Notamacropus eugenii: one gene and its partners. The protein of the gene in region 2 interacts with the protein of the main gene of each other region in a biochemical or structural test. Links are inferred from orthologs where the notes say so. Each region holds a gene or a part of one and is shown on either strand. Other genes may lie near its edges.

Region 1 (7,039 bases), about 250 Mb from region 2:
CCTAATGTATAACTAAGATAGAGGAAAAAATTCAAATAAAGATATTCTCAGACTTTTTTTAATGACTGATTTTTCTAGGTAAAAGAACAGAATCAGAACAGAGAAGCTTAGTGTTTAAATAAGAGAAACTTGGAAAAGAATATTTATTTGTAATAATTGTCCACAAGGATCCTTCAAATACTCTATTAAAACTATCTCATTACTTTATTAAATGGCCACTTTAAGTTCAGGGGGAAAAATTAAATCCTCATTCAAATGTATGATATCTTATAATTTAAACTAAAAAAGATTAAAATTAAAAACTACTTTCAAAAGCATGCTTTCTAGAACTGAAACTTACAGCTGAGCTATAAAGAACATATACTATATCAAACAAGGCATTTTTAAAGAAATATGAATACATCCAGTTCTTCTTGATAAGTAATTTAAACAAAATCCACCCTACTACATATCAAAGATTTTTTAACCTCTTACTATTTCCATGTATAAATTTAATTTTTCATACATACATGCATACATATGATATACTATACTGTTGAACATGAAAAAATAACAGACTGCAGATTGGAAACAGTAACTTGTTTCTCATTGATATACTATCACTTCCTAGATACTTTGTGCTCCACTCCCTTCTGTGCCTTACCACTCTTGAACAACTACACTGGTTTCTTTGTAATAATCCAAATCAAAAGGTTTTTTAAAAAGTCTAAATAATATATTATTTCAAGAACTACTTTTTGAAAGCCAACCAAAAGAATAATTCTTCTTGTAGGTCTTTCCTCAAAGAAGCAAAGAAGGCTATTCAGATTGGGGGGGGGGGGGTACTTCAACGCTAATAATCTGAACAATATGAAAACTCAAAACTGAGAAAGAAATCCAAAGTTCAGCTGAAAAACATGAAACAATTCACCTAGAAGCTAAATACCTTCTATTATGCTACAATCACAAAGTATACACAAAAACTTGTCACAAACACAAAGTAATTTCCCACAGTATTTCCTCCTTAAGTAAATCTTCAAGTAATAACATGATTTAGTTACTACCATTCTCTTAAGAAAGGCTATTTTACAGTCTTAAGGAGACCTCCCAACTAAATGTTTTCTCATCTCTATGCTAAAATGTTCCCTGATCAGATCTACTTGCACAGGGCAGAACCAGAATCTTGACCTACACTTAAGAATACCTTGACTTTTAGTCCTGTGGATGGTTTTCCAAAAATTGTATCATACTACACTTCACCCAGGGTACTAAAAGACTAAATTGTCATTAAATTAAATTACAATTAGGTTATTTGTACAGTTATATTTCAAATTCTCTAACATCAGAACATCTTTAAGTGGTATGTTTGAGGATTAAAACTATCTTTAAACTACTACTTTAATACAGTAGAATCAGAGTAGTCATGACATTTCCTCTATTACAAAGTGAAAACTTCTCTCACATACCATTAAAAATCATGAGTGCAGTATTTTTCAACATCATTTTAGCAGGTAAACAGCACTGTTTTTTCCACCTAACTATAACATGGTGGTGGTAGATTTTACTCCAAGACAGGTGAAATAATAATTAAGAAGGCTACACTGTATACCTCACATTCTATGGAAATTCTAAACCAAAAGAGATCCTTGGGAAGGCTCGGGAGACAAAAGACAGACAAGGAGCAGATGCAGGACTAACAAGTAATAGCCCAAAGCTCTGGCTAACTTCAAGAAAATTAGTTTTGAACACTGACACAGCCCAAAAAATCAACGAAGGTGAGGACATCCAAAGTCGTAGTCGTAAACTAGTACCAACATACTTCTCCTTTCCAGGCTACAGTTCCCAACTTTGTCTCTCGAGGGCAATTAAACAGGAAAAGTGGGGCTTTTCTTTTCCTGCTACGGGAAAATAGAAAAACTCTTACACTCGAACTTCACACACGGTTACCTCTTGGAGTTCCGATCTGATAAGATCCTTCCCCCAGCCTCTGACTGAACAGACAACAGCACTGGACATTGGTCATCCAGATGAGGCAAATTCCTGCAACGGGTGGAAGAGAAGAAAGACACGCTTGGAATCGTGATCCGTCAGGAACCGAAGGAGAGAAAAAACTAAAGGGCAGAAAAAATAAAAGGCCAGAGCAACCTGTCATTTGCTTCTCTTGGGGGAAAAAAATAGGGGTGCAGGGGGAGGGGGAAGAAGCAGTGAGAAGAAAAGGATAAAAGAATCCCCTCCTGGTGTGTTAAATTCTCTCCCCCCCCCCCCCAAAATAACCACCTTTGGGAAGATAAGCCGGGGAGCAAATTTTACGGACAAGGAGGTGCAGGGATGGGGGTCTGCGGAGGACACGCTCCGAAAGCTTCCCAAGCTGCTGGGCAGTCAGGGGTCTCCCGGGAGGGATGGGTCCCTGGCTCCTCCAGCCCTCCAGGGTCACCGAGGCACGAGGCGCAGGGAGGACACGCGCGCGTACACATACATACATATGTATATACATATATACACATATATATACACACTTCTCCATACACACACTCACACGAGGTAGGAAGAGCTCACAGGCGGCGCGCCCAGCTCACCTCACCTCACCGTCCCTACCCCACACTACACAACTCGCTTCTCTCCCCAGGGGTTACCAGGGGAAAGGCGGGATGGGGTGGGAGGGGGAAGGGAATAAGGGGGGGGTGCCCGGACCTGATCCCGATCCCAAGCCTCCGCCGGGCTGCCGCCTCCTCCTCCTCCCTCAGGCCCCATCCCCACGGTCTCGGCCCCCGCCGCGCTACCTGCCGCTGCGCTCGTTCTTTCTGGCTAGCCCGCTCGCCCCCGTACCCAACCGCTAGCCCGCGCGCCGGTGCGCCGCCGCCGTTGACTGGCAGAGCCCAAGAGCCGGCCGGAGTCCCCCAGCCCTCCCACTCCTCCACCCACTCTCCCCGCTCCACACTCACACACACACACATACACACACTCACACACACTGGGCGGCACGGAGCGCTTCCCCGCCCCCGCCGGCCGCAGGACCGGCCTCCGATAGGTCCCCTAAACTGTCGGTCTCCTTCCGAAAGGCGCGCGGGCCACCGCCCCGCCTCTTCCGATTGGCCGCCCGCGCGCGGCCCATGCAAATGAGGTTCCGCCTCCACTCCCTCTCGACTAGTACTCCTTCACTCCCCCTCCCACCCCGAAGTCTCCCCTTGCCCAAGCCCCAGCGGCCCACGTGTCTTCTCTGTACCGGACTCCATCGCCACCCCCACGAGCCTAGGGAGGATTCCAGAGCCCTCGGACGCCCCCGTACCCACCCGGTAATCTTTCTGGGGGGACTCTGCTCCAAACCGCTTACTCTGTCCTACTCCTTTAGGACAGTCCTGCCAACCCCCCCTCGATCTGACCTACGAGAGCTGCCCTGCAGATGGAAGGGGTGGCTTAGGCTTGAAAGGAGTGGCTCCGTCCCTAGCAGACTGCCTGGACATACTAAGCTCGGGAGCCCACCCTGGAAAGTCAAAGATGCCCAGCTGAGGACGGAGAAGTCCTCAGCCTCCTGGACCCAGGCCAGTGGGGGCTTAGTACATATTGGGTTAAGGGAAGTACCTTCTTCTCGAATGACTGTCAGGAACTTTCCTTCCTCATCAGCTCCCTGATATCCATTCAATACAGTTCACATGTATAAAAATGTTTTAGCGGTGGCTACCTGCTTTCCTCGTAACAATCCTGTGAGGGGAGTAGGAGAATGGATTAGTCCTAGCTACATTTGGGGAAATTGAAGCTCAGCGATATTAAGTTGTTTACCCAAACAAAGTCAAACAGCAAATGGCAGCGAAGTTAGTGAATAGCACTCAAGGCCGTTATCTTCGGACCCTGGAAAAGATCAGTGCTTTTTCCTACCACAGCCTGTCAATCAAACAACAAGTATTTATTAAGCAGCTGTCACATGCAAGAGAGAGTACAAGCCTGGAAGGGACTCAAGTAAGAAACCAGGAAGATCTTTGCTCTCCAGGAACTTCCCACTTTGCCTCTCAGTAACTGCCACAAAAACTTTCACATTAGAATTAGGAAAGAATTAGGTTTCTCCGGAGTAGGAAGATAGGAACTGAGGGAGCACAAGATTAAAGTCCATAAAATCACATGAAGTTGTTCAGATGCCCACATCTAAAGATTAAAAGCTTGAAAGAGATCGGGTTAGTCACTAAAAGGAAGTCCTGCTTTACAAAATGGATTGTAAATTTGGGGAGCTGATCTTTCTAAGACAATGATACAGGCTGAAAATGCGAAAAAGTTTTCAGTTTAATATACAAACCATTGAGAATTGGCTTTGTAAGCAGCAGCACTAAGTGTTCAAAGCTGGAATAAGATAGTCTAGGGAACAGAAACTAAATCTCTTGATTCTCCTACTTCTATACAGATTCTACTACATCTCAGCCAAATAAAGGAGTTTATAATTAAGCAGGGGAGATAAAACAACATTTATATCAATAAATATAATAGTGAATTGTGATCAATTAATAAAAGAGGCATGTACTGAGGGCTTTATGAGGAAAGTAAAAGAATTATATTAAATTGTGAGCTCCTTTAGGGCAGGGACTGTCTTTTGGTATCTTCAGTGCTCAAAGCCCAGAATGAAGTATGGGCTTAATAAATGTTTATTGATTATTGATTACTTATTTTGTTCAGTTCTGTTCAACTCTTTGTGACCCCACTTGAGGTTTTCTTGGCACAGATACTGGGGTGGTTTGCCATTTCCTTCTCCAGCTCCTTTTACAGATGAGCAAAGAGGCAAACAGAGTTAAGGGACTTGCCCAGGATCACAAAGCTAGTAAATGTCTGAGGCCAAATTTAAACTCAGAAAAATGACTCTTTCTCACTCCAGGCCAGGCAGTTTATTCACTTTTCCACCAAAGGACATTTTGGTAAGGATTTATGGAGGAAAATCATATTTGAGCTGAAGATAAGGTTTAAAAAGGATTCTGCCCAAGATGTTGGGCACAAACAAAGGAACAGATATGGACACCCCCCTAGTTCACCACCTAGTTCACCTTATTCACCTCTCACCTGGTCTATTGCTTTCCTTGCAAATTACTCCCAGAGCCCCAGACTCTCTTGTTTCCAATCCATCCTCCACCTAGCTGTCAAACATATTTCTAAAACACAAATGTGACCTTTTCACTCTCTGATCAAGAAACTCCAGTGGTTCCCTGTTCCATTTAGGATAAAATGCAAGCACCTTTGACATTTATTTAAAAGTCTTCACAACCTGGTTCCAGCTTAATTTTCCAAGTTTATTGCCCCTTACTGCCCTTCACATACTCCATGGTCCAGTAAAAATGACTATCAGTCTATGTGTTTTTCCTTGGTTGACCCCCATACCTAGAATGGATTTTCTCCTTAACCTTCCTTTCTGAGATTTCCAAGCTTCCTTCACAACTCCCCTCAGGTTCCTTCTCCTCCAAGAGGCCTGTTGCCCTAGTTACTGGTGTTCTCCCCATTCCCAAATTACTTTCTATATACTTTGTACATATTTTGCTATATCAATATATACATATTGATCACAGAATCAGTTTAGTGATACAGAGAACCTTACAGGTCATGTAGTCCAAGCTGTTCATTTTCAGATGAGAAAACTGAGAAACAATTTTCTTGAGGGTAGAGACTGTCTTTGTATCCATAGCATCTGGCACAGAGCCAAGTATATAATGTCAGGCACTTGATAAATGCTTGTTGAGTGAATTAGTTAATTGATGGGACTGATGTAGTAGCCACTTTGGCTCTTGAGTAGGGGCCATGAAAAGGAGTATTGAAAAGGCTGGAAAGATAGATTGTGGGTGGTCTTACAAGCCAAATACTGGGGGTTAGATTTAATTCCATAGACAATGGGGAACTCCTGAAGATTTCTGAGTAGAGTGCTTTTGTCACGACAGTCCTGGGAAGTAGGGAGGATAGTGTGAGCATTATTGCCCTCATTTTATAGATGAGGAAACTGAGAGTCACTGAGGTTTGATGACCAACCCAGAGTCGCACAGGTCATAAGAATATGCTAATGAAGGTCAAGGAGGAATCTTGAGCTTGGATCCTAAACATGTGTACACATAAATATAATACAAAATAAAGTCTGCATGACCACTTCTTGGGGGTGTTATAAAAACAATATCTGTGTTGGGCAGTGGTTTACACTCAATTTTTATAAGAACCCTTCCATTTTTAAAGATCATATTAGACGATCTCAGAGTTGCCGCTGGAAGAAAGATGAGGAAGGATACAGGATTATCAATCATATGATCCTGAGTCTAGAGCTGGAAGGGACCTTAGAAGCCACCCAATTCAGCCAGTATATTTTACAGATCAGAACCTGGAGACTCAGAAGGTAAGTGACTTATCCAAGGTCACTCAAGTATAAGTGGCAGAAGTGAGATTTGAAACTGGATCCTCTGAGTCCAAATCTGTTATACCTAATGTGGTATAAATTTGGAATCAGAAGAATTGAGTTCAAATATTGCCTCTACTACTTGCTACCTGTGTAATCTTGGGATTATCACTTTAAACTCTCTGGACCCTCACTTCCTTAACTTTAAAATGGGGGTATTGGCTGTATATCCTCTAAGGCCCCTTCCAGCTCTAAATCTTATGAATAATTTATGAATGGTGTACAGTATGAACTACAGTGGAGAAAACCTAGAGGCAAAGAAAACCAGGAGTCTGAAAAAGGAAGAAAGAAGGCATGGTCTAGGGTGGTGTCAATGAAAAAGAGGGCACAGATTGGGAAGGATGCAACATGTAGAAAGACCAGATAGGACTTGGTAACTGCATGGATGAAAAGTAGAGAGAGAGGAAGACAAGAATGACACATCTTTCAAGTCTTAGTGACTAGTGAAAAAAAAAGAAAGGTGGTACTGCTGACAGGAGCAGAGAAGTTAAGAATTTCATTTAATTTATTTTATTTAATTAATTTCATTTCATTTCATTTCATGCATTCACTTATTAATATATTCCAGGCACTGTGCTAGGCACAGGAAATATAAAGGCAAACGAGAACAATTCTTGACCTTAAGTTGCTTTATACTCTAATGGGGAGGAGGAA
Region 2 (6,829 bases):
GAGATGGGAGGGCTAAGTTATTCCAAGAGTGAATGTTCAGATCAATTTAGAAAGTGGACAGTATAATACTTCAGGCCATACTTCCTTCCTATTCTCCACCTCACCAAATCCCTTCCTTAAAAAGGCAGTGTTTATTCTTTCTTAATTTCCTACATGGAAGGGGAAGAATCATGTAGGAGAAGCTGCTGATGTAGATGCTGCATCTGTACTGCTCCCCCCTGGTGGCTGTCTCCCTGATGTCACCCCACCCATCTTTAATGTCACAAGACTGCAAAAGGTCTTGACCTCCTCACTAGTTCTCCTGGAAGGCTGTTTGGGAGGGTGGGGAGAAAGACACTCTAAAAATAAATGCTTGTTCTGAATTAATTTACTGTAAAGATCTGTCCACGATCTATCCCATTACGACCCCAGTCAATGTTCCATGATTGTGGTGAGCTCCTTGGTGGGTGCTGCTCCCAAAGTCAGCAGAACCCACATCTCCAATGAAGTCTCGAGATGCCTCCCCAATTCTTTGCAACTCTATCCCTAAAGAAGGAAATCCTAGAAGCCTGGGGTCCTTCCTACTCAATCTTCTCCCATTTCCATCAATCTCTCCTTGCCCTGATCCTCTTTCAGAAAAAGGCCTGCCGTTTTTCAGCTCAGTTCCTAAGCACTGGTTGTTCATGGGCATCTGGACCAGAAGAGCACTCTCTATCACACAACGCTCGCACCTGCAGGAATGCCTCTGCGCAACACGCGCAAACATGCTAGTTTTCCTCATGGATCTGTCAAACGAGCGGAGCAGGACCCTTTCGGTCTGTGTGTGGATTAACATGCAGAGGGTGTGTGCACGCGCGCGCTCATGGATGTGTACGCGCGCGCGCGCCGCGAGGCGTGGTGGCCACGGGATAGTGCCCCGGCCCGGGAATGAACTAGCGGGACTGTGCGCCAGGGCGCGTGCGGGTATGGGAGCTCCTGGCACCGAAGGAACGACGCAGACAGGCAATTCCCGCAAGGCACAGGGATGGTTTTTGTTTGTTTGTTTCGTCATTTTCTCCAACCCTAAGCAGCCTCCCTGAGGGTGAGGGAGCACCTGTGAGCCTACCCTAACCAGCCTGGGTGGTCCACTTTAGCCTCTGCGCGTGCCCGGTCCTAAAAGGGGCGTAGTCCCGGCCGCGCGGCGGCCAGCAGAGCCTTTGCTGTTCCCATACACTGTGGGAAAAGAAAACCCTCCCTGGGAATTTGGAGACGCGTTCTCAGAAAAGCCCGGAAACAGCGAAAAGAAGCGTCTATTGTATCCCTGCCATCGCCGCTGTCACGTTGGTTCCTCGGTTATTAAGGGGGAAAATCGATTCGACAAAAGCCTGCTGATTCTAGTGGCACCTTCTCGGGACTAGGTGGGGTGGCGATGCTCGGGGTAGACACCACACTTCTCAATCAAACGAAATTTTAAAACCATAGCGGGGAAACACGAACCATTTAACAGGGAGACACAAAGCGGCACTCTCCCCAGCGCACGTTCCCTAAGGTCATTCTGCGGTAGCAAAATGTAAAGCTTTCACAGCAGATTTCCCCCGTCTTGCTTTTAACCATATCACCACATGCCATCCTGTTCTCTACAGGGTATATGCCAAGGATATCACAACGGCATTTATAAGGACATGTCAGACTGCAAAATATGGCACCACCGATTTGAAAAAGAGAGAAGAGGGAGAAAGCCCATCCTTTCCCCCCTCCCTCCTCCCTCTCCTCCCTTCCCCCCTCCCTCCAGATACACACCTACTGCAGCATCCAGAGGCAAGCCCTCACCGCCATCACGGCCACGGCGTAAGGGCCGGCTACAGAACGGACAGCGCTACCCGCTGCGGGTAAGAGAGGAACGAGAACCCGGGAAAGGAAGAGAAAGAAACCCGTCCTCTGAAAATGCACCTTGCAGCCCGCAGCCCTGAGTGCGGCAACTGACGTCTGCAAAAAAGCAGCTCGATTTTCCGAGTGACCAAGGCGGGGACGCAGCCGCGGTGCTGGACACGCACACACACACACACACACACACACACACACACACACACGCACACACCCTGATTTTGGGGGGGGGAGGGAGTGAAACAGAAAAAAAAAACCTTCCCCCCTCAAGAAACGTCAACCTCACCATTCATCTGCTTTTTGATTTTTAGTTTTGGACACAGGGAGAATAGGAATTGAGGATAAACTTGCATCCATCCATCCATCCATCCATCCATCCATCCAGAGACCCCTCCCAGTTAGGCGAATCCACTCCACCTTAGCCAACATGTCCCCTGAATTCTGGGAAAGAAAGCCGGGTTGGGGGTGGGGACCCTAGTAAGCCTTTCCCCCGAAGCCCACTTCGGGGTGGGGAGGCATCTGGTGAAAAATCCACCCCACGCCCTCCTGAGCGCGGTACGCAAAACGGGAAATCGGAGGCAGGTTCCTGGGAGACTGGAAATTTCTTCTCCCTCATCCTCACCCCAGGGCCCCACCCCCTCCTGGTCGTTGGCATCGGAAAAGATGCCCCTCGCCCTACTGCGGCAAGTGGTATGGGGGAGGGGAATGGCAAGTCCCCCTCCCTTTTTTCCTCCGAGGTCACCGCAACCGGCGCCCCACCCTGTGCATTCAACACCTCGCTCTCCAGGTTCACGCAAAGGCTTGGACGCCGTAACTCCTTTTTTCCTTTCTCCACACACGCTTCCCTTTGTGGATCGCCAGAGGAACCCTGCCATTCTCCCCTACGCGGGTGCGCAGCCTGCGGCCGTGGGGTGGGGGTCAGAGCGCTAGGTAAAGGCATCCCTCCCTGCCCGCCGGGCGCTCAGCCATCCAGCCCGAGGAGGGGGCGCAGAGGCGCACTGGGGGCTGGGGAGCAGCTGGCCGAAGCCCCGCGCTTACCTGCTCGGCCGGTGCGAGGGGAGTGCGGAGCGCGGAAAAGGTGGCGGCGGTGGCGGACGCGGTGGTGCTGGGTGGCGGTGGCAGGTGGGCGGAGGTGGGCAGCAGCGGGCGAGAGCGGGCGCGCGCAGCCGAGGAGCAGAGAGCGCGACCACGGCGCCTCCCCGCGAACGGAGTAACTCAGCAGCAGCAGCGGCAGCAGCAGCAGGAGCAGCAGCAGCAGCAGCAGCGGCAGCGGCAGCAGGAGGGCGGGGGCGGGGGCCCAGAGCAGGCAGCAAGTGGAGAGCCGCAGAGCCAGCGCAAGCGCGACTCCCCGCCTCAAGGGCCCTCCCTTCTCCTCCGGCCGCCAGAGGGAGCCCTCAAGCGGCCGGGAGCCCCGCCCTCGGGTCACGCCGTTGCCCCTGCCGCCAGTCTTCTTTCCTTTCCCTGCCGTGGTTCTCTCTTTCCCTCTTCCCCACCCTGGGAATCTCAGCCCCAACCCTTCCCTCACCCACCCCAGCGCCTGGGTTTCCCAGCACGGACAGGCGCGCGCGCTCGCGCCCGGCGCATGCGCACGCACCTCTCTCCCACCCCATACACAGACCCCCTTCTTCTCTCAGCCTGGGGCCTTTGTCTCGTCAGAGAGACCCGGGGGCTTTTCCCTGGGGGGAGGGGGGCACAGGCCGGGCAGCCGGCTCTGACTTAGCCCTGACACCCCCAGAGTCACAGAAGCACTGGCGAGGGCGGTCCCCGGGACAGAGAGGACCCCCTCCCCCCATCCCCTCTGCAGCCCCGGGGTCACACCCAGAGTCGTCGTCACAGCGTGGTGGGGGTAGCGCCGAGGCGGACTTGGGGGTCATTTTGTCCACCCCCACCCCACCCCGTGACGAAGCCCAGGAGGTTAAGGGTGGGCCCGAGGTCACACAGCAGCGCATCTACGCGTACCTGCGCAGGTCTGCTCACCGCCCCCACCTGTAAAGCCACCCATTCCCGCCAGCTTGCGCCCCTGCTTGTCTCCCTTTGGGCCCCTTGGCAAAGGCGTCTCCCTACGAGCGATGCCCTCATGCCCTTTTTCCTCCCTCCCTTCTTAGCCGGGATTTGGACCCAGGCGCTCGGGCTGGGTGCCCACCCTGGGGTGCATCCTCTTCCACTCGTCTCCCTTGCGCCCCCAGATCACACGGTCGTTTCGGACCTCTCTGGGACAACTGGTTGGCACAGTGGACAGAGCATCGCATAGAGTAAGGACGACGGGTTCAGCCTTGGCCTTTTTATAGCTGGCAACTAATTCATATAACCTCTGCGTGCCCCAGTGTGCCCATCTGTAAAACAGGGATCATTCTAGTACTTTCTTCCCAGAATTGCTATGAAGATAAAACGAGATACTATTTGTAGAGTGCTTGGCAAACTTATTTTTTTTTTTATTCTTGGGCTCAAAGATCACTGAAGTTGAAGACTGAGGCCATGAAATTAAAAGACCTTTGCTCCTTGGAAGAAAAAGCTATGACAACTCTGGACAGCATGCTCAAAAGCAGAGATATCTCCTTTCCTACAAAGGTCCAAGATAGTCAAAGCTCAGGTTTTTCCAGTAACGATCTATGGCTGTGAGAGTTGGACTATAAAGAAAGCTGAGTTCTGTAGAATTGAGGTTTTTCCATTGTGGTGCTGGAGAAGACGTTTGAGAGTCCCTTGACAACAAGAAGGTCAAATCAGTTAATGTTTAAAGAAATTAATCCAGGTTATTACTGGACAGTCAAACACTGCAGCTGAAGCTTAAATACTGTGGCCATATAATGAGAAGATGGCACTTATTAGAAAAGACCCTGATGTGAGGAAAGATTGAAGGCAAAAGGAGGAGGGAATGACAGAGGATGAGAGAGAAAGATAGTGTCATGGGAACAAGAAACACAAACTTGGACAGACTTCAAGAGATAGTAGAGGATAGTAGAGGCATGCTATATTGTCCAGGGGATCATAGAGAGTAAGACACAACTGTATGGCTGTACAACAACAAATTGCAAACCTTAAAGTGATATATAAATGCTAAGTTATAAATAGGAGTATTTGTTGTTAACATCAGAGAGCCCCTCCCTCCTTCCATTTTCCTTTCCTACACTTCCTTGATTAGGGAGATTCATATTTATTTTCTCAATACCCAGTATTTCTTAAGCAGGACAGTTTTGGAAGGCTGCAATTCATTGGAGCTGAAAGAACTGGAGATTGGAGGAGTTTCAGATCTAGGGGAGAGTTAGGGTGATACACTGGAAAGCATGCTGTCTGGAGTCAAAGGTCCTGGATTCCAGTCCTGATTCTGCTATTTCTACCTGTGTGGTCTCCATGTCACTTAACATCTGTGGGCTTCAGTTTCCCCATGTGTAAAATAAGAGAGAGGATCTCTTCCAGCTTGATATCTATGATTCTGTGGGTTGACTACTCTACTCTGTGACCTTGGACAACTAGAAGGCCAGCAGGGTGTAGTGGACTGAGTGCTGGACTTGGGTTCCATTATGACCTATGTTATGAACAAACTATGTGACCTTGGACAAGTTATTTACCCTCCCTACCCTCAGTTTCCTCTTCTGTAAATTAGGGTTTGGACTAGATTGACCTCTAAGGTCAGTGGAGCAAGGCAATCATTGTGACTCACTATCCCACTCACCACAGCAACTTTTATAAACATTTCCTCTCTCAACAGATTTTTTCCTCTGTCCTCTCAACTGAGATTCTTTCTCCATATTCCACAAGAAATAATGTCAGACATTTGCTTCTTCTCTTTTCTTCCTCACCTCAAATCACTCAGATCCGTTCTGCAATTGTCTCCTCTTTTACCCCTGTCTAACATAATGAAGCAACCCTTGTTCAAAGGCAAACAACTCTACATATACAAGGATTCCATTCCATCTTCTCCAGCAGGTCACTCCCCTTTGTCATCCCTCTGTCATCCCTATTCTCTCACTAATCTTCAGTCTCTTATTGTCTGTTGGCTGCTTTTTTACTGCTTACCAACATGCCATGTCTCCCCAAACCTCAAAAAACTCTCACTTGATCAATCCCTTCCAACTATCTATCTATGAGTACCTTTTTGTGGCTAAACGACTTGAGCAATTCATTTACTGCCAGTGCTTCCACTCCTGTTTTTCTCATTTTCTTCTTAATTCTCTGTACCCTGATTTCTGATCTTATTGTTCAGTTGAACTTGCTCTCTCCATTTACTAACAATCTATTCTTAATCACCAAATCTAATGACCTTTTACTTGGCCTTTTTGCAGCCTTTGACCCTATTGAACAGCCTCTTCCTGATACTTTTCTTCTCTGTAGATTTTTGTGATTCTATGCTCCTGGTTCTCCTCCAATCTGTCTGACTCAGTACTCAGTGTCCTGTCCTAGAGCTTCGTCCAGGTCATGCTTGCTACACATAGATGTCCCCCAAGGCTCTGACTGGGGCACTCATTTATTCTCCCTCATACTATTTCATTCGATGATCTCATCAGCTCCCTTGGATTCAGTTACATCTTTATGCAGATCATTTTCAGATCTATCCTCCAGCCCCAACCTATCTCCTGACCTCCAGTCTTGCATCTCCAACGTCATGGAAATCAACTGGATGTCCTATAAATATCTTAAGTTCAACCTATCTAAACCTGAACTTATTTTCTTTCTTCCCAAACTCTTCCCTCTTCCTAACTTCCCAATTATTGTTGTCAAGAGTATCCCCATCCTCCAAGTCCCCCAGACTTGCAACTTAGGTATTATCCTCAATTTCTCAATCTCTCTTACCCTTTATAGTCAATAAATTGCCAAGTCCTGTCTTTTCTATTTGTAATATCTCTCCTTTTAGTCAGTCTTGCATCTCCAACGTCATGGAAATCAACTGGATGTCCTATAAATATCTTAAGTTCAACCTATCTAAACCTGAACTTATTTTCTTTCTTCCCAAACTCTTCCCTCTTCCTAACTTCCCAATTATTGTTGTCAA
Region 3 (7,920 bases), on a different chromosome or scaffold from region 2:
TAAGCAGCTTGGAGGCTGTACTTCTTGACACAGAGATTGGACGTACATACAGGGCAAAGTGGGGTGAGGTGGGAGAAGGAAGAGACGTGATGGTCTGCCATCTCTGCCTTCTCACCTTGAGGTCACAAGTGGTGTTAATGAGCAGGTTGGAGGGTTTGAGGTCCCGATGGAGCACATTGGCTGAGTGGATATATTTGAGGCCCCGAAGGATTTGGTACAGGAAGTAGCAGACATGGTCGTTACTCAGCTGCTGGCTCTTGAGCAGCTTATACAAGTCTGTTTCCATCAGGTCCTGAACAATGTAGCTGAGGGAGACATGGAGGAGTTCCCCCCCACTCCAACCAGGAAGTGGGGGAACCGATAGGAAGTAGAGTTAAGGAGAATAACAGACTGATGCTATTGTCAGTAACCCCATCAGGCCAACCAAAGGGCCCCTTCATCTAGTCTTTTTCTGCCATTTTATTTTTGAATGGCCCGGACCCCATCAAACAGTTCTTTTTACAGTATAAATCCATACACATGGGGAATGGTGGGAGGAAAGGGACTGACAGGGTTTCACTTGAAGTTGAGAAGAGGAAAGGGCATTTGGAAGAAAATAAAGGGAGGAAAACTGAAAAAGACAGCAGAGAGGAAAAAGGGCATGATAATACAGTCCAAAATCTGGACAAGGTCCAAGGATCTTCCTGTTGGGGAGGTACCTGGGTGGGGCTTTGAGGGGGAAAGTTCAAGAGAAGATGGCTATAAGCCCCCATCTGTTTGACAGGAGAAAAAGGAGGGGTTGGCAGGAAAACAGGCGATATATAGAAGATTTATGTGGGGCTTCACAGGCTCTGTTGCAGAGACTCACTATCTACAAAATTTTAATTAAACCCTGACTATGGGCAGAGACCTGGCCAAGGTCTCAGAATCTCTAAATATTAAGAGCTGGGAGGAACTTCAGAGATCATCTAGTTCAATATCTCATTTTATAAGAAGAAAGTGAAGCACAAGATGGGATTAAAATCAGGATCTACTAATTTATAGGGGTAGCTAAGTGGCACAGTAGATACAGTGCTAGGTCTGAAGACCCAAGACTCCTCTTCCTGAGTTCAAATATGGCCCCCGATATTTACTAGCTGTGTGACCCTGGACAAGTCACTTGACTCTGTTTGCCTCAGTTCCTCATCTGAAAAATGAGCTAGAGAAGGAAATGGTAAACCACTCCAGTATCTCTGCCAAGAAAATCCCAAAAGGGGTCATGAAGATTTGGACATGACTGAAACATATGAACAAAACTAATTCATAAACCCCTTCGCTTCTCCCTATACCACATTCTCTCTTCTACTGGGGCATGGAGTCGAGAAAGGAACACAAGACAGAGAAGGAAAAAAAAAGCCCCTACAGAGCCTGATCTGGGGTCAGAGTTGAATAAAGGGGTTAAGGATACACATCCCTCATGGCCTCCAGTGTGGGTGCTCGAAGGATGTCACGGATGCCAATGACATTTTCATGATGGCAACGAAGCAGGATCTGAATCTCTCGTAGGGTGCGCTGGCAATATGTCTGGTGCTCAAACGGGCTGATCTTTTTGATGGCTACCCGGGCCTTCCGCACATGGTCAAAGGCAGAGCTGTTGGGGCAGAGGGCAAAGGATCTATCCTGGATCACAGCTGGAGGAGAGCTGTGCCCAGGGGGAAGGAGAAAAAATGCAGACAGAATTGGGGGGGGGGTTGGTTTGGGGGGAGCAGGATAGCCTAGAGATTAAGGGAACATCTGCAGAGCCTAGGCCACTGAGCTCCACCCAGGCCTTGGGGTAGGGGATGGGAAGAGGGAGGGGAGGAGGAGGTGGAGGGAGGATGGGGGGGGGGGGGGGTCAAGGGAGAACTCTGACCAGGCAGTAAACAATGCTGGCTCCTTCCTGCCACTAGTGCCTGAAGCCTCCAGGGAGTGGGCTGGGGACCAGCCAACCCAAGCTCTGACTTCACTCCAGGAAGAAGAGACCACTGACCCTCCTCCTCCCCACCTCTCAACCTAAACTCCAGCTGTTAGGACCCCTAGTATGTCTCTTTCTATTCCTATTACCCAGAAGTCTAAAAGAGGGATGAGGAGGGTAAGGAGAAAATAGGAAATAAAGAGAAAATACGTCAGGAAGTCCTCAAGCCAGGCATCCTAGGAGGAAAGGAGATGGGGCCCAGAAGGAGGGTACCAAAGGGCCACAGGGGTGGTGGTTGAAGAAAGTATACATAAGGAACGAGCGGGGATCTGGGTCTCCAGGAGAGGCCTGTCCCGCAGAGGGGGATGTCTAGAGGGGCGCAGCAGAGACAGGGGCATAGCCATGCACCAGCCCAGCCCCACACCCCAAGTCTGAGGGGAGCTCACACCTCCCCACCCAGATGCCCCTCCCCCCCAGGAACCTGCCCAGGCCCCCTCCCCTTCCTAGGGCCCCCTCCCTCAGCACATCTCCGGAGCCCCGTTCTCTTCCTCTGATCGCTCCCTCTTTTCCCTTTTCCTCCTTCCTCACACCCCTGGACACCCCCTCCTCCCTTAGAACATCCTCGGAGCCCCCTCCTCAACCTCGGAACGTCCCCTCCTTCAGAACATCGCCAGAGGCCCCTCCCCTCCCTAAGAACATCCCCAGAGACCCCTCCCCTTCCTCAGATCGTACCCTGGGCTCCCCTCCCTTCCCCAAGAAAATCCCCGCAGACCCCTCCCCTCCTTAAACACCCCGGGAGCCCCTTCCCCTCTCTCAGGACACCTCCGGAGCCCCCTCCCCCGGCCCGTACCTGACCATGCCGTACGCCCCCTCCCCGATGTACTGCAACTCTGTGTAGCGCGGTCCCACGTCAAACGGCTGGCCCTTCACCATCTCCACCTTGCCCGGGACCCCCGGACCCGACCCGTCAACTCCCCGGGGCTCCCCGCCCCCTCCCCCCTCAGCCGCCACCGCCGCCGCCATCTCCACTCCCCTCCCTCCCCGCGGCTCCGCCCGGGGTCCCGCCTAGGCGCGCGCCGGCCCCGCCCTCCGTGTCGTCACCCCGCCGCGCAGGCCCCGCCCCCGACCGGGCCCCGCCCCCCGGCTCCCGCTGGCTCGCAGCTCCTGGCTCTCGGGCTGGCGGGCTCGGCGCTTGCGCCTGCGCGGCCTGGGCTCCACGCCTCTGCCCGGCCTCCACCGCAGGCCTGGGCCTCCTGGGAGCAGTGTCCGGGGCTTGGCACCCCACCCCCTGCCGGAGGGGCGCGATCCCTCGCCGCTCGGCCTTGGGCAAGCCTGCCTCGCTCTATGTCTTCCGGGCCTCAGTTTCGTTGTCTTTTCCCGGTTGAGGGCCTTGCGGCGAGGCCCTTCCGGGCAGTAAAACTGCGTGGACATCGGTGAAGCGCCTTCACGAGCACGAGTGGAAAGGCCGGGCCGAGAGGGCAGAGGTCCGGGGCTTCACCCACGGCCACATTTAGGCCTCCACCTGGAGAGTTAGGGAAGAGCCCAAGGGGGGTCAGCTTCCCGTCCTGGGCCAGAGGGCCTGGGCAGGTGCCCCAACAGGCTTGGGGTTCAGGTTCCCCTTCTGTAAAACAGCGGCCTAGACCGCGTGGCCCCGAGGCCCGCGTCCGACCCCGACCCTGTGGCCCTCTGCCCCTCCTTGGGAGGACGGCTTTGTTTCATAGATACAAGAGGAGTGGGTATGCCATTGGTCAGTACACATCTGGTAAGCGCCTACTCTGTGCCAGGCACCGGGCAAAATGCTGGAGAAATAAAGAGGCAACGGACAGTGCCTGCCCTCCAGGAGCTCCACGAGGACACGGAAGTGATGCCGCTCTGGAGGGAAGGCACCAGCTGGGAGAGGGGGGACGGACAGACGGAGGAAGTGCCTGCAGCTGGAGGGGAAGGACCTTGTCCCAGAACAGCAGGGGGCAAGTGTGAGGACACTGGAAAGCTCAGAGGGGGCTAGGTGACCTCCACGCAGGGAGGCTTGTGCTTGACCCTGGAGGCCACAGGGAGCTTTTGGGGAGTGGGCTGTGACGTGATCCCGTCTAAGGTTAGACTCCATGCTCTTAGAAATTTCATCACTTTTAATTTACCCCCTGAGCACAGACTGGGCTGAGAAAACTGCATAGAGGATGATAATTTAGGACAGCAAAAACTAAATTTTTTTTAAATCTAGTTCTAAATGGTTATTCAGCCTGGAAATGGACAGAAATCATGAGTTAACCTCATTAGTCAAAAAAAAAAATTAGTCACCAACCTGCCTGCCTTTCCCCCAGTACAGATTAAGTTATTATTTCCACTGATGTCTTGTTCAGTCCTGTCTGGCTTTTTGTGACCCCCATTTGGAGTTGTCTTGGCAAAGATGCTGAAGTGGTTTGCCATTTCCCAGCTCATTTTACAGACGAGGAAACTGAGGCAGACAGGGTTAATTATTGCTCAAGTGTCTGTGGCTGCAATTGAACTCACGTCTTCCTAACTCCAGGCCTAAGGGCTTTATCCACTTTACCACTTAGATTTCCTTTGATACTTGAGATGACTGATTATCCCAGCTCCATTACCAGGGGAGTGTGCACAAAGCAACCCATCTTTTTTTTCTGCATATGTGGATGTTATTCCCAGCTTTCCGTTAATCTTTCCTAGAAGCTCTTTTTGATATACTTGAAGTCTTCCTCTGGTTTATCTATACTTTGCTGCTCCCTGTCACTGAATTTCTTGAAAGGACAAGACAACAGTGTACAATAGGGTAGGGTTATACAAACATATCTGGAGGGCTTCCGTATGATTTTTTTTTCCCCTCGAAAGATCAGGAACAAAATCTTCCTCTTGTGCTAAAGCAGACCTGTGCAAAATGGAGCTTCATGATTCCAGAATCCCTCATAATTTGTTTCTGAATCAGATATACTAATTCACGGTGGTGTGGCTCATATGCTAATTTAATAAACCCCCGAGGAACATGCAACAGGCCTGGCAGGATCTGGGTTTAGCCCTTGCTAATATGATAAGGCTTTTTTTATAAACTAACTTCGTGTAATTACAAGAGACCAGTGACTCAATAAAGTACCAGATAGAGATCTGCTGTGAGCCATGGGTGGAGTGCTAACATAGGGAAGTTAGTTCTATGACAGCTTGTCATATAAGACTGCAATTATTTCACCCCATGCAGTGTTTGTAAAAATCATTTTCTAGTGACTATGAATGATATTTCCTGAAACTAACTCCTATGTTGGAGGCGACTGATTCAGCGTATTAAATCAGCCATAAAATTGGAGCTGGAAAGAATTTTAGAGATTAAGTTAATTTCAACAAACATTGAGCATCTACTCTATATGAAGGTACTGTACTGGGTGCTGGGGTTGCAAAGACAAAAACAGAACAGTTACTGATCTAAATAAACTTAGGTTTAACTGGGTGTATATAACAAATATATGTAAATACAAGGAAGTATTCAGGAAAGTGGGTTGGATCTGGAAGGGTCCTGTAAATATCTACATCAGACCTGAACCTTGAAGGAAACTAAGAATTTTAAAAAGTAAAAATGATTAGGAGGTCTGGAAATACACAGAATCCTTCCAGTCTGTACAAGTGCAGAGCCAAAGGAACAACTACTCCATTTTCTTCTTTCTGCCTCTTCCTCTTTGTCTGTGATCTCTGGGGCATTTGACACTGTTGAAAACCCGAGTCCTGCAAGGCTCAACCCCCCTGGAACAAATCTTTCCCCATCAGAATCATCAATCAGATGGCAGTCAAAACTCAAACTAGTCTGGGGGGGAAGGGAAATGAAACTACGCTCACTAGGAATGTGCTTTATTATGCATTTATGTTCTGAATAAATGGCCTTATTGTTTACACACAGAGAGAGAATCCTCTTCCTTGACATTCCCTTGCCTTCTGTGACACAGCACTCTAGGTTCTACTTTTAACTGTTCCTTCTCTATTTCCTTCCCTGGTTGGTCTTTCTTCTCCCAACTCTTTAACAAAATTATTCTCCAAGGCTTATCTTTGGCCCTTTCCTTTGATTATCTTATCCTCCTCCCAAGACATCAAACCTCTGTACAGGATCCAAATTATTATATACAGATCTGATCATGTCACTCTCCTGTTCAAATTTTTCCATATGTTCCTTTTGCCTGCCAAATATAAGTCAAAATTCCTTAATTTGGCACTCAAGGGCTTCCGTAATCTGGTGTCTTTCCACCTTTCTGGTCTTATATAAGAGTATTCTCTCCACTGTGTACTCTGTACTCCAGCTGAATTGGACTACTTGCCATCCTCTGTACACATCTCATACTTTCCTTTTTTTGAATGATCTCCCCACCTTACCCACATCCAGAAGTAAAGTGGCCATTCCCAGGTCTGACGCTACTGTTGATGACATGGCAGCTTTTGACCTGCTCCATTTTCTGCCTGAGCCAGCTTGCCTCTCCTTAGACAGTGTGGTGAAACACCTTCTTGCATATTAGTGCCAAAGTCAATGAGGACACCTGATCACCTCTAGAGCTATTGCAATATAATTCAAAACATCCAAGCTCAGTCAATCCACCAGCATCAGCCACTTGAGTAATAGGAATTAAGGATGTGTGCCACCATGACCAGCCATGTCATACCTTTATCCATGCCTTTGATTATACAATTCCCAGTTTTGGAAAGTCCTACCTGCTACCTCTGTCTTTTGAAATTCTACCCATCCTTTAAATTCCAGTTGATCTAAATCCTTCATGAGGTGTTCCCTATACCCCTCAATTGAATGTAATAATTTCTTTATAATATGTTTATCAAGTGCATCCTGAGCCCCACCCCTTTCTTTTACAGCTAGTTCTAGGTTCCTGGTACTGTTAGACTAATTAGCAATTTAAACTCACTGTTGATGAGTCCCTAACAATGTTTCTTTTACTGAACTAAACTGGGATGCCTATAGATTCAAAGCAAAGTTATTTAATATGAAAGAATATTAGAATTAAATCAAGTTTTAAACTTTCAGCATTTATCCCCAAATGGCCACTCCTTTTCACAGTAACGTGGATCATATGTCTCCTGAGGAGCACTAGTCTTCTGGTTAACTCTCAGTCTCTTCATTATCACAGGAGGTATATTAGTCTGTCACAGAAGTTATGCTAGGCCCACAGTTCTAGGTCTTCACTCTCAGCTCAGCTCTGGTTTTCTCTCTTTGACTTCTGGTTGCTTCTTTGTGAGACAATCATTATCCCCTGACCTGGTCTCAGGTCTCATTACTCCTGACTGCTGCTGGTCACTTACTCCCGGGAGATCAGGAGAGAAGGATTAGAAAAAGTGTTAGGAAGTTTGTGAAGGAAGTTCAACCTCGGTAGGGCCTTAAAGGAAGGGGGAAATTTCAATCAGTTAAGGGGAAGAGGAATTCCCAATGGACTCAAGGCAAAACGCCTTCCACATCCAGAGAAAGAACTATGGAATTGGATTGCAGAAGGAAGCAGACCATTTTCTCTTGTGTTATGTTTTGTTTTGTTTTGTTTTATGGTTTCTCTCATTCATTTTAATTTTTCTATGTAATACAACTAAGGTGAAAATGTATTTAATAGGAATGTATGTGTAGAATCTATATAAGGTTGCATGGTGTCTCGGGGAGAGTGAAGGGAGAGGGAGGGGAAAAATACAAGATCTATGGAAGTGATTGTAGAAAACTGAAAACAAAATAATTTAAAATTTTAAAAAAGGTGGGAAGAGGAGGGGAAACCATATGTAAAGGTATGTTGCTGGGAACTGGTAAGATGAAGATGGAGAATACAGAGTAGTCCAATTTGACTAGAGTATAAAATATAGGAAGGGAAAGAGCATGAGGTAAGGCTGAAAACTAGGTTGGAATGAGACTGAATATGTATGTTTTGGGAGATAAGCAATAGGGAGTCAGTGATAGTTTATACTCTGTTGAATGGGCAGAAGAGAAGACCTAAACGTTTTCTGAACAGAGGCTTGACAATCAGAGCAGCGTGTTA
Region 4 (7,082 bases), on a different chromosome or scaffold from region 2:
ATTCTTAGACACTTACTGGCTATGTGACCCTACCTGAGTCATTAACCTTTGTTTGCCTTGGTTTCCTCAAATATAAAATTAAGATATCAGCACCTACCGCTAACAGTTATAGGAGCTTTCTTCCCTCAAATGAGATAATCTATGGTAGCTTCTCCTACTCAAACTCCAGTGGCTCCTCACTGCCTCTGGGATCACATATAATCTCTTCTGTTTTGCTTTTGAAGCCCTTTACACCTAGCTCCAACTTACCTTATTACCTCTAATCTTATTAAAATTATTTCCAGTATTGGCCTTCATGCTATTTTTAACACATGCCATGTGATCTTTGCAATACCTGCCCCCCATGTAGGGCATGCCCTCCTACTCACCCCTCTCAGAATCCTTTGTTTCCCTCATAACTTTACCTAAGTGACAAAAACCTTTCTTGATCTTCCCACCTACTAGTGTCCTTCCCCCTCAGAAAATTACCTCCTATTTATTTTCTATATGTTTCTTTATGTACATGTTATCATCCTGAATAGAATAAACTCCTTGAGGGCAGGGACCATTTCATGTTCGTGTCCCCAGCATAATGCCAAGAAAATAGTAGGTTCTAAGTAAATTTTAGTGACTTAGTAAAGGATATATAATGATTCCTGGGAAGTGCCTATAAGAAGATCATTAGAAGGGAATAAGGAATGGGCCTCTCACCTCATGAGTGTAGGTACGAACAGGTACTCCAAAGGCCCTGGCTAGTCCAAAGTCAGCGAGCTTGATGGAGCCTTCAGCATTGATGAGAAGGTTCTGGGGCTTGAGGTCTCGATGGAGGACTCTGTGAGAGTGGCAGAAGGCTAGACCCTGGAGGAGCTGAAACAGGTAGCTCTGGCAAGAGAGGTATGCAGAAGAAAAAGTAGCATAATAGGATGCAGTTCTCCTTCCTTATAGTACCCTTGTACACACCTGATGTTCAATGAAAGGGGTTTTTTTTTGTTACTGATGCACTAAAGATAGCTTCCTAGGAAGCACCCAAAGCCTGATTCTTCAAATGCAGCCATTGTCCCTCCCAAGAAGGCACTCATAATAATACTTTCATGTCAGAAGATGGGATGAGTAAACTACAGACTTTAAGCTAAATGAGCTGGTCTACCTCCTTTAAAACTCTCCCACCATCTACTTGCACAGTTAATAAGGAGTTGATTCAGGGTAGTTGCAACTTTCTTGGTTCCTCAGTCCAGCCTGGCCTAGCCTAGCCTAGCCTAGCCCAGCCCAGCCCAGCCTGATGACTTAGCCCAGCCCAACACAACCCAGCCCTAATTAATAAACTACAAAATAAGACACAAATGAGATGGGGAGAGAGGAAGGAAAGGAACCTGAATTACCTGTAAAACATTTTGTGTTTTAAACCCATTATTGTAGGTATTTTGCCCTGTTTGCTCTGAACACAAGGAATAATGGGACATATATTCAGGATGTTATTGTAAAAAAGAAGAGAGTCAAAAGCCAGAAGAGGAAGAGGCAAGTTACCTTAATGAGGGGCAAAGGGATGCCTGTGAGTGCAGATGCATCCATGAACTTCTTCAGATCCTGATGCAGAAATTCAAAAACCAGGTAGAGTTTGTTTTCTGTATGGATAACATCCAGCAGCCTATAGAAGAGAGGTCAGGGTGACCAAAAGGAGGGAGGAAAAGGAATCATTGATATGAATATACCAAAAACAGGTTTATATCACTATGAGAAGAGATGGGGGAATCCAGTAGCCCACTCTGGGGGGATGAATATATCAACATATCAGAGCTTCCTCAAAGACATACTTACTTGACAATGTTGGGGTGATTAAGTTCCTTGAGTAGAGAGATCTCTCGAATGGCAGTACTGGGGACGCCCTCTGTCTCACTTGGAGAGGATGGGGGGAGCAGAGATGGGAGTTTAGCAAGAAGGTCACTCCCCACAGCCCAGTCTCCCTAATTAGATCCCAATTGCTAACCAAGGCCCTTGCAAGCATCTCTAAAAAGAAGGTGGGGGAGAGACTAAAGAGAATGCCAACCTACAAACTACTCGTGCCCATACAGGGTGGGGCTCACAGGCCAGGGAGTGGCTTTTGGATACATAAAGGCCACCATTTCCTCCCTCCCACCAGAGTACAATAAGGTGCTAGGAAGTGAGAGGCCTCTATCTAACTCTCTTACACTGTGGGAAACTGAGGCAAGTGAGGGCAATGGGGAAAATGTTTGAGGGGGATGGTCCTAACCTCCCCCCGGTAGGGCCAGTGAAGGTTCAACTGCCATTCTTTTGAAAGAACAGGCAGAATTCTAAGGTAGGGAAGAGGGAGAAGACCTGTTGGCAAGCTGCTTCCCACCAGTTGGGGTCTCTCTGCCACTCTTCTCCCTCTTTACTTCCTACAAAATCCAACTCCATTGGGTCCCACAGGCCATTCTAGAGGGTTTTTCCTTCTCCCTGAATTAATCCCTACACATTTGGGGCATTGTCACACGAAATTTTAGGAAGGGATTTTTCCCATTCTAAGCTTCCTTCAACTTGAGCTGAGAGATCCCTCCCAACCCACCACCCTGGAAGCCACGCTACCCTGTCCCCCCCAAAACCTAGAACCGCACTCCAAAAGAAATTGTCTCTTCATTTTCCGGTCCCGCCGACCCCTCTCTAGGATGGGGACACTCCAGGAACCCTCGAGGTAGTGGGGTCGAGGGTAGAGGGGGCCACTCACGTGTCCAGACGAATTTTCTTGAGCGCTACCACTTCTCCAGTCACCTTGTTCTTCGCCTTATACACCACCCCGTAAGTGCCCTCTCCGATCTTCTCCACCTTTTGGAAATTATCCATGGAGAGCCGGGGAGCGGGGCCGTCACGGCCCAGGTGTGGGAACTTGGGAACGGCTGGGAATCCTGAGAAGAGCAGCTTGGCTCTGGGGACAGAGTTGGAGGGCAGGGGGCCGGCGCGGTGGCCCGAGCCCGGATGGAACGCTGTGTATCCTTTGCCCCTTGTCAGTTTCTTCAACTTGCAACAATGTTGCCGCCTCCCCCCTCCCGCGCCCGGCCTCCTCCAGAAGCCCCGCCCCAGCTTCCCGCGTTTCACTCGCTCCGCCCCCAGAGTGTCTTATTGGTCTACGTCATCACGGAGGTGGGTCTGAGAGCTCTGTCTAGTCCTACTGGCTCCAGTAAAATACTCAGTGTCCCATCTCTTTTCTCCACTCTGCAAATTCTTTACCTAGGTCAACTTTTCTTTCTTGAAAGACCTGAGGAATAGCTATTTCGGTGATGGCTCTTGTCTATGTCCAATAATTATGCACCTATTGTAGATAATCTCCAATTTCCTATAGCCGTGTACCTCTCTTCAATCCATATGCCCTACCCTTTGTATCTTGTCTGCAGAGACTCCCCTAATCTCTTGTCCACGTTTTTTCCACCAATCCTGACCAAAAGAATATAATAATATTTGTCATTTATATAAGTGCTTAAAATTTACAAAATGTTTTTCACCCATACATTGAAGAAGCATGTCTCTGCCACTATTAAACGTACTTTATTTCATTTGATCCCCACAACTGTCAAGTAGATTGTGTTGGTTATTATCTCCATTTTACAGCTGAGAAAACTGAGGCTCAGTTAAGTGACTATTAAGCACCTAATATGTGCCACAGGGCCAGACACTAGACTGTAAATATCAGTAGTAAATATCAGAGGCAAAGAGGACCTAGTAAATATCAGAGGCAAAGTTTGAACTCAAGTCTCTTCTGACTCCAAGTCCAGATTTTTTTTCCATTTTCCTTTCTTCCAAGGGAGTCCCAAATAGAGGAGAATAACCTTGAACAGGAAGAACTATGATTCTGAGTCCAGGAGATATCCAAGGGTGTGCTGGAGTCAGCTTTAAACCAGCTCGCGAGAGTCAGTTGTTAAATTTTCAGTGTGAGAATTTACATTTAAGAAATTAGCAAATGCTACCAATCAGGGCTTGATTAACTATTTTGTTGATTATCTAAACTTAAAAGTATGACATTCATACTTTTTTCAGAGAGCTGATTGTTAAGCATTTACCAGCATACCACTGTATATGACTATATTTCTATTATAATAATAATGGAGGCAGCAAGATAAGTAACTTCCTGTATTTGTAGTCAGAATTTAAATCCCTAAGTTTAAATCCCCTTTGACTTCAGACTTTAAAGCCCTAAATAACTGTGAGTTATTAGAATAATATTACATTAGTACTAGCCTCATAATGAATATTTATATAGCACTCAAAATATACAAAAAGCTTTTCATCCTTGATTTTCCCTGTGATAGTGTAAATATAGTCATAGATGATGTTGATACAATACTTTATACTTTCTCATTTGATCCTTACGACAACATTGTTTGGTAGGTAGTACAAGTGTGATTGTCTCCTTTTTATAGATGACGAATTTGAGGATCAGAGAACCCAGGTGGTTTGTGAAGGGTTATATAGCAAATAAGTGTCTGAGGCAGAACTCTAACATCTTCCCCCCACCCCCACACTACAAATCCAGTGCTCTCTCCACTACCTGTGTCTTTCAGTCTCTTCCTGTTTCTGTCTCACAGGTTCTCATGTAAAGAGGATCTGTCTCCATCTTTTCATGAGGTTCTTGATTTGATGTAACTAACTTTTTGGCTGAATCTCTCATGCTGAATTATTTGTGTAGCTATGGAGGAGGGAGGTGGAGATGGTTGGTGGGATGAAGAGCTCGAGAGAAATTCCTTGATTCTTGCTTGACTCCTGTCTGACTCAGAGATTCTGGCCACCATATAATTAACACTTATCTGAGGGAAAATGGAGCCAAAAAATCTAATCACCTAGTGGGACTCAAAACATCCAGTAGATTTTGAAGTAAGGAAAAGTTTTCAAAGCATTTTCCATACATTCCTGTTTTACTGATGGGAAATTGAGGCTCAGAGAGGTTTTAGTCATACAACCAATAATTGGTTGGAGCAGGAATTTTCAAAAAAGATAACCCACATTTTCTGCTACCTAGTGCAGTGTTCTTTTTCCTCCATCACATCACTGTCAGTTCCATCCACCTCTCTTCAATTCTTCCTTTCTTCTCTGGGAATTTTGAAGGGAGGAGAAGATAGGCAGGGCTATGCAAATTAGTAGTACCCTTTCTTATATAGGAGCTAGCACCAACCTCTGTGCTATGGTTGTTCAACTGACAGAAAGAATGAGACTAGGACAGATGATCTGGTTTTATAATACGGCCATGACCTGTGTCCTGTTGACTACAATAGCTGCTGATAGTGAGTATGAGAATAAATATGGATATGTTGGGAGGATGGGAGGTGATGGGCAGTTTGAGCTGGGACTATCTGCTAAACTTGGCTTCCCTGAAATCTTGAGGATAACAGCTCCGCTAGCAATTCCCCAGGCAACTTTTGACCCCTTTTCCCCCATCTATTGAGAAGGACTTGAACATCTAGAAATGTGGGAAAGTTGAGCTGATGCACCTCTTGAAGAGGGGAGGAATTTTGGAGTGCTTGTTGCTTAAGTTTTAGGACTCCAAAGGGAATGAAATAGATCAAATCAGGGTTTTTGAAGGTGAAATAGACTATCCCTAAAATTGGCAGATGGATTGTTCCTGCCTCTTCTGGTACTTTAGGGGCATAGATGTGAAAGAGGCAGTTCTCCAGAAAAAGAAGGAAAAGTATGAGATCAAAAGATTAAAAAGGAACCTCTTATTTCTTTGGGTGTAAGAAGGGGGCCTATTGTCCTTGCCTGCTATTCTGGGGTTAGGGCAGGGGAGGCATCAGGGTCTCAGCTGAGAATCACATGAAAAGGATCTGCTGAGGGATTGGGATCTCATGACTGGAAAGGGGGGTTGGTCTGGAATATCAGAAGTTACAGTAAGGGAGGAGAGTGGGGAGGAGAAAGGAGAAGGGGAGATCTTATTACTCCTTTTATGCTAACAATGAGATACTCAGTAAGATTATTCTAGGTTCCTTCTCTCAACTTCTAAGTCTCTAAACCCTTTTCTTGCCCCTGTTTTCCCTCTGAATCCTGGAAAGTCAGGAAACCGTATCTCCCCTAACATCAGTTAGTTCTCTAACCCAGCAGTTCTCTGTCTTTTTTTTAGTATAAGGATAAACTTTTAAAAATAACAATATTATTAATATATTTTGGTTTTTGTCACTTAAACTTGCCCCTGTATTCCTCCTCCTTCCAGAGATCCATACTATATAACAAAGAATTTTTTCATGAAAAAAAGAAGAGGAAAAATGAGCATTAACTGACATATATATATATATATAGATATATACATATATGTAAAATCTCACAAAGTATACAATGTTTTGCACCTGTGGACTCCCACATTGCTACAAAGGGGAGGGGGGATGATGTCTTCTCCTATTTCTTCTTTAGTGTCCCGGATAAGAAAGGGTGTTTTCTTACTCCAATATGAATTACAGAGCTATACCAGTGTATGGTGTTTCCAATACCAATGAAACCACAGGTCCAAACAAACAAACTCTAGGGCCATGCTTCGTCTTTATAGTTTTGAAACAATCATTTGTGATTGTTCTTCCCGTTTACATTGTTGTAGTCATTATGTGTATTGTTTTCTTGGCTCTGATTAATTCATCTTGCATTAGTTCACCTAAGTCTTTCCATCCTTCTCTGCATCACTGTGTAGGTTATTTCTTAAGTCACAGCAATATTTCCCATTCCATTGATTACATTTACAACTTATTTAGTCTTTCTCCAGTTGGTAAATACATACTTTGTATCAGTTTTTTGCTACCACAAAGTGTATTGCTAGAAATATTTGGTGAATATGGGGTCTTTCTTTTCTTTCAGTGACCTCTGTAGTAAATAGTGGAATCTCTGGATCAAAGGGTATGAACATTTTGTCTGATAGATTTCTTTCTTCTTCCTTCCTTTCTTTTTTCCTTCCTTTTTTCTTTCTCTCTTTATTCTCCCTTCCTTCTTTCTTTTTAAACATCAGAACCATTTCACAGCTCCCTCACCTGGTAGCAGTTGTACTATTAGTCTCTATTGATTGAAAAAAAATAACAAAAAGCTAATATGAATTCAGTAATATTAAAATTAATTTGTATTTTATAAGTAACAGCATCTAT

What was found.
Region 1: the proteins of MAPT (region 2) and FKBP5 form a complex in vitro, tested with the Homo sapiens proteins (2 studies listed by BioGRID and IntAct, with this or other methods). The link is inferred for Notamacropus eugenii from reciprocal best matches to the Homo sapiens genes MAPT and FKBP5.
Region 3: of the proteins of MAPT (region 2) and MAPK3, one has a biochemical effect on the other in vitro, tested with the Homo sapiens proteins (2 studies listed by BioGRID). The link is inferred for Notamacropus eugenii from reciprocal best matches to the Homo sapiens genes MAPT and MAPK3.
Region 4: of the proteins of MAPT (region 2) and CDK2, one has a biochemical effect on the other in vitro, tested with the Homo sapiens proteins (2 studies listed by BioGRID). The link is inferred for Notamacropus eugenii from reciprocal best matches to the Homo sapiens genes MAPT and CDK2.

Annotation. Positions count from the first base shown.
Region 1 is NC_092873.1:92,735,082-92,742,120, forward strand, and holds the start of FKBP5 (peptidyl-prolyl cis-trans isomerase FKBP5), read right to left. Parts: upstream 3,018-7,039; 5' UTR 2,760-3,017; exon of another isoform or gene 2,671-2,759; intron 2,583-2,670; exon of another isoform or gene 2,516-2,582; intron 2,091-2,515; exon of another isoform or gene 2,020-2,090; 5' UTR 1,927-2,019; exon of another isoform or gene 1,904-1,926; intron 1-1,903. UniProt on the Homo sapiens protein: Immunophilin protein with PPIase and co-chaperone activities. Component of unligated steroid receptors heterocomplexes through interaction with heat-shock protein 90 (HSP90).
Region 2 is NC_092873.1:346,978,896-346,985,724, forward strand, and holds the start of MAPT (microtubule-associated protein tau), read right to left. Parts: upstream 3,009-6,829; 5' UTR 2,881-3,008; intron 1-2,880. UniProt on the Homo sapiens protein: Promotes microtubule assembly and stability, and might be involved in the establishment and maintenance of neuronal polarity.
Region 3 is NC_092872.1:46,778,734-46,786,653, reverse strand, and holds the start of MAPK3 (mitogen-activated protein kinase 3), read right to left. Parts: upstream 3,001-7,920; 5' UTR 2,936-3,000; coding exon 2,763-2,935; intron 1,610-2,762; coding exon 1,427-1,609; intron 306-1,426; coding exon 116-305; intron 1-115.
Region 4 is NC_092874.1:231,163,566-231,170,647, reverse strand, and holds the start of CDK2 (cyclin-dependent kinase 2), read right to left. Parts: upstream 3,014-7,082; 5' UTR 2,818-3,013; coding exon 2,702-2,817; exon of another isoform or gene 2,642-2,701; intron 1,873-2,641; coding exon 1,795-1,872; intron 1,625-1,794; coding exon 1,504-1,624; exon of another isoform or gene 1,499-1,503; intron 862-1,498; coding exon 691-861; intron 1-690. Other genes in the region: melanocyte protein PMEL, read left to right, coding at 5,147-5,246, 6,802-6,840. UniProt on the Homo sapiens protein: Serine/threonine-protein kinase involved in the control of the cell cycle; essential for meiosis, but dispensable for mitosis. Phosphorylates CABLES1, CTNNB1, CDK2AP2, ERCC6, NBN, USP37, p53/TP53, NPM1, CDK7, RB1, BRCA2, MYC, NPAT, EZH2.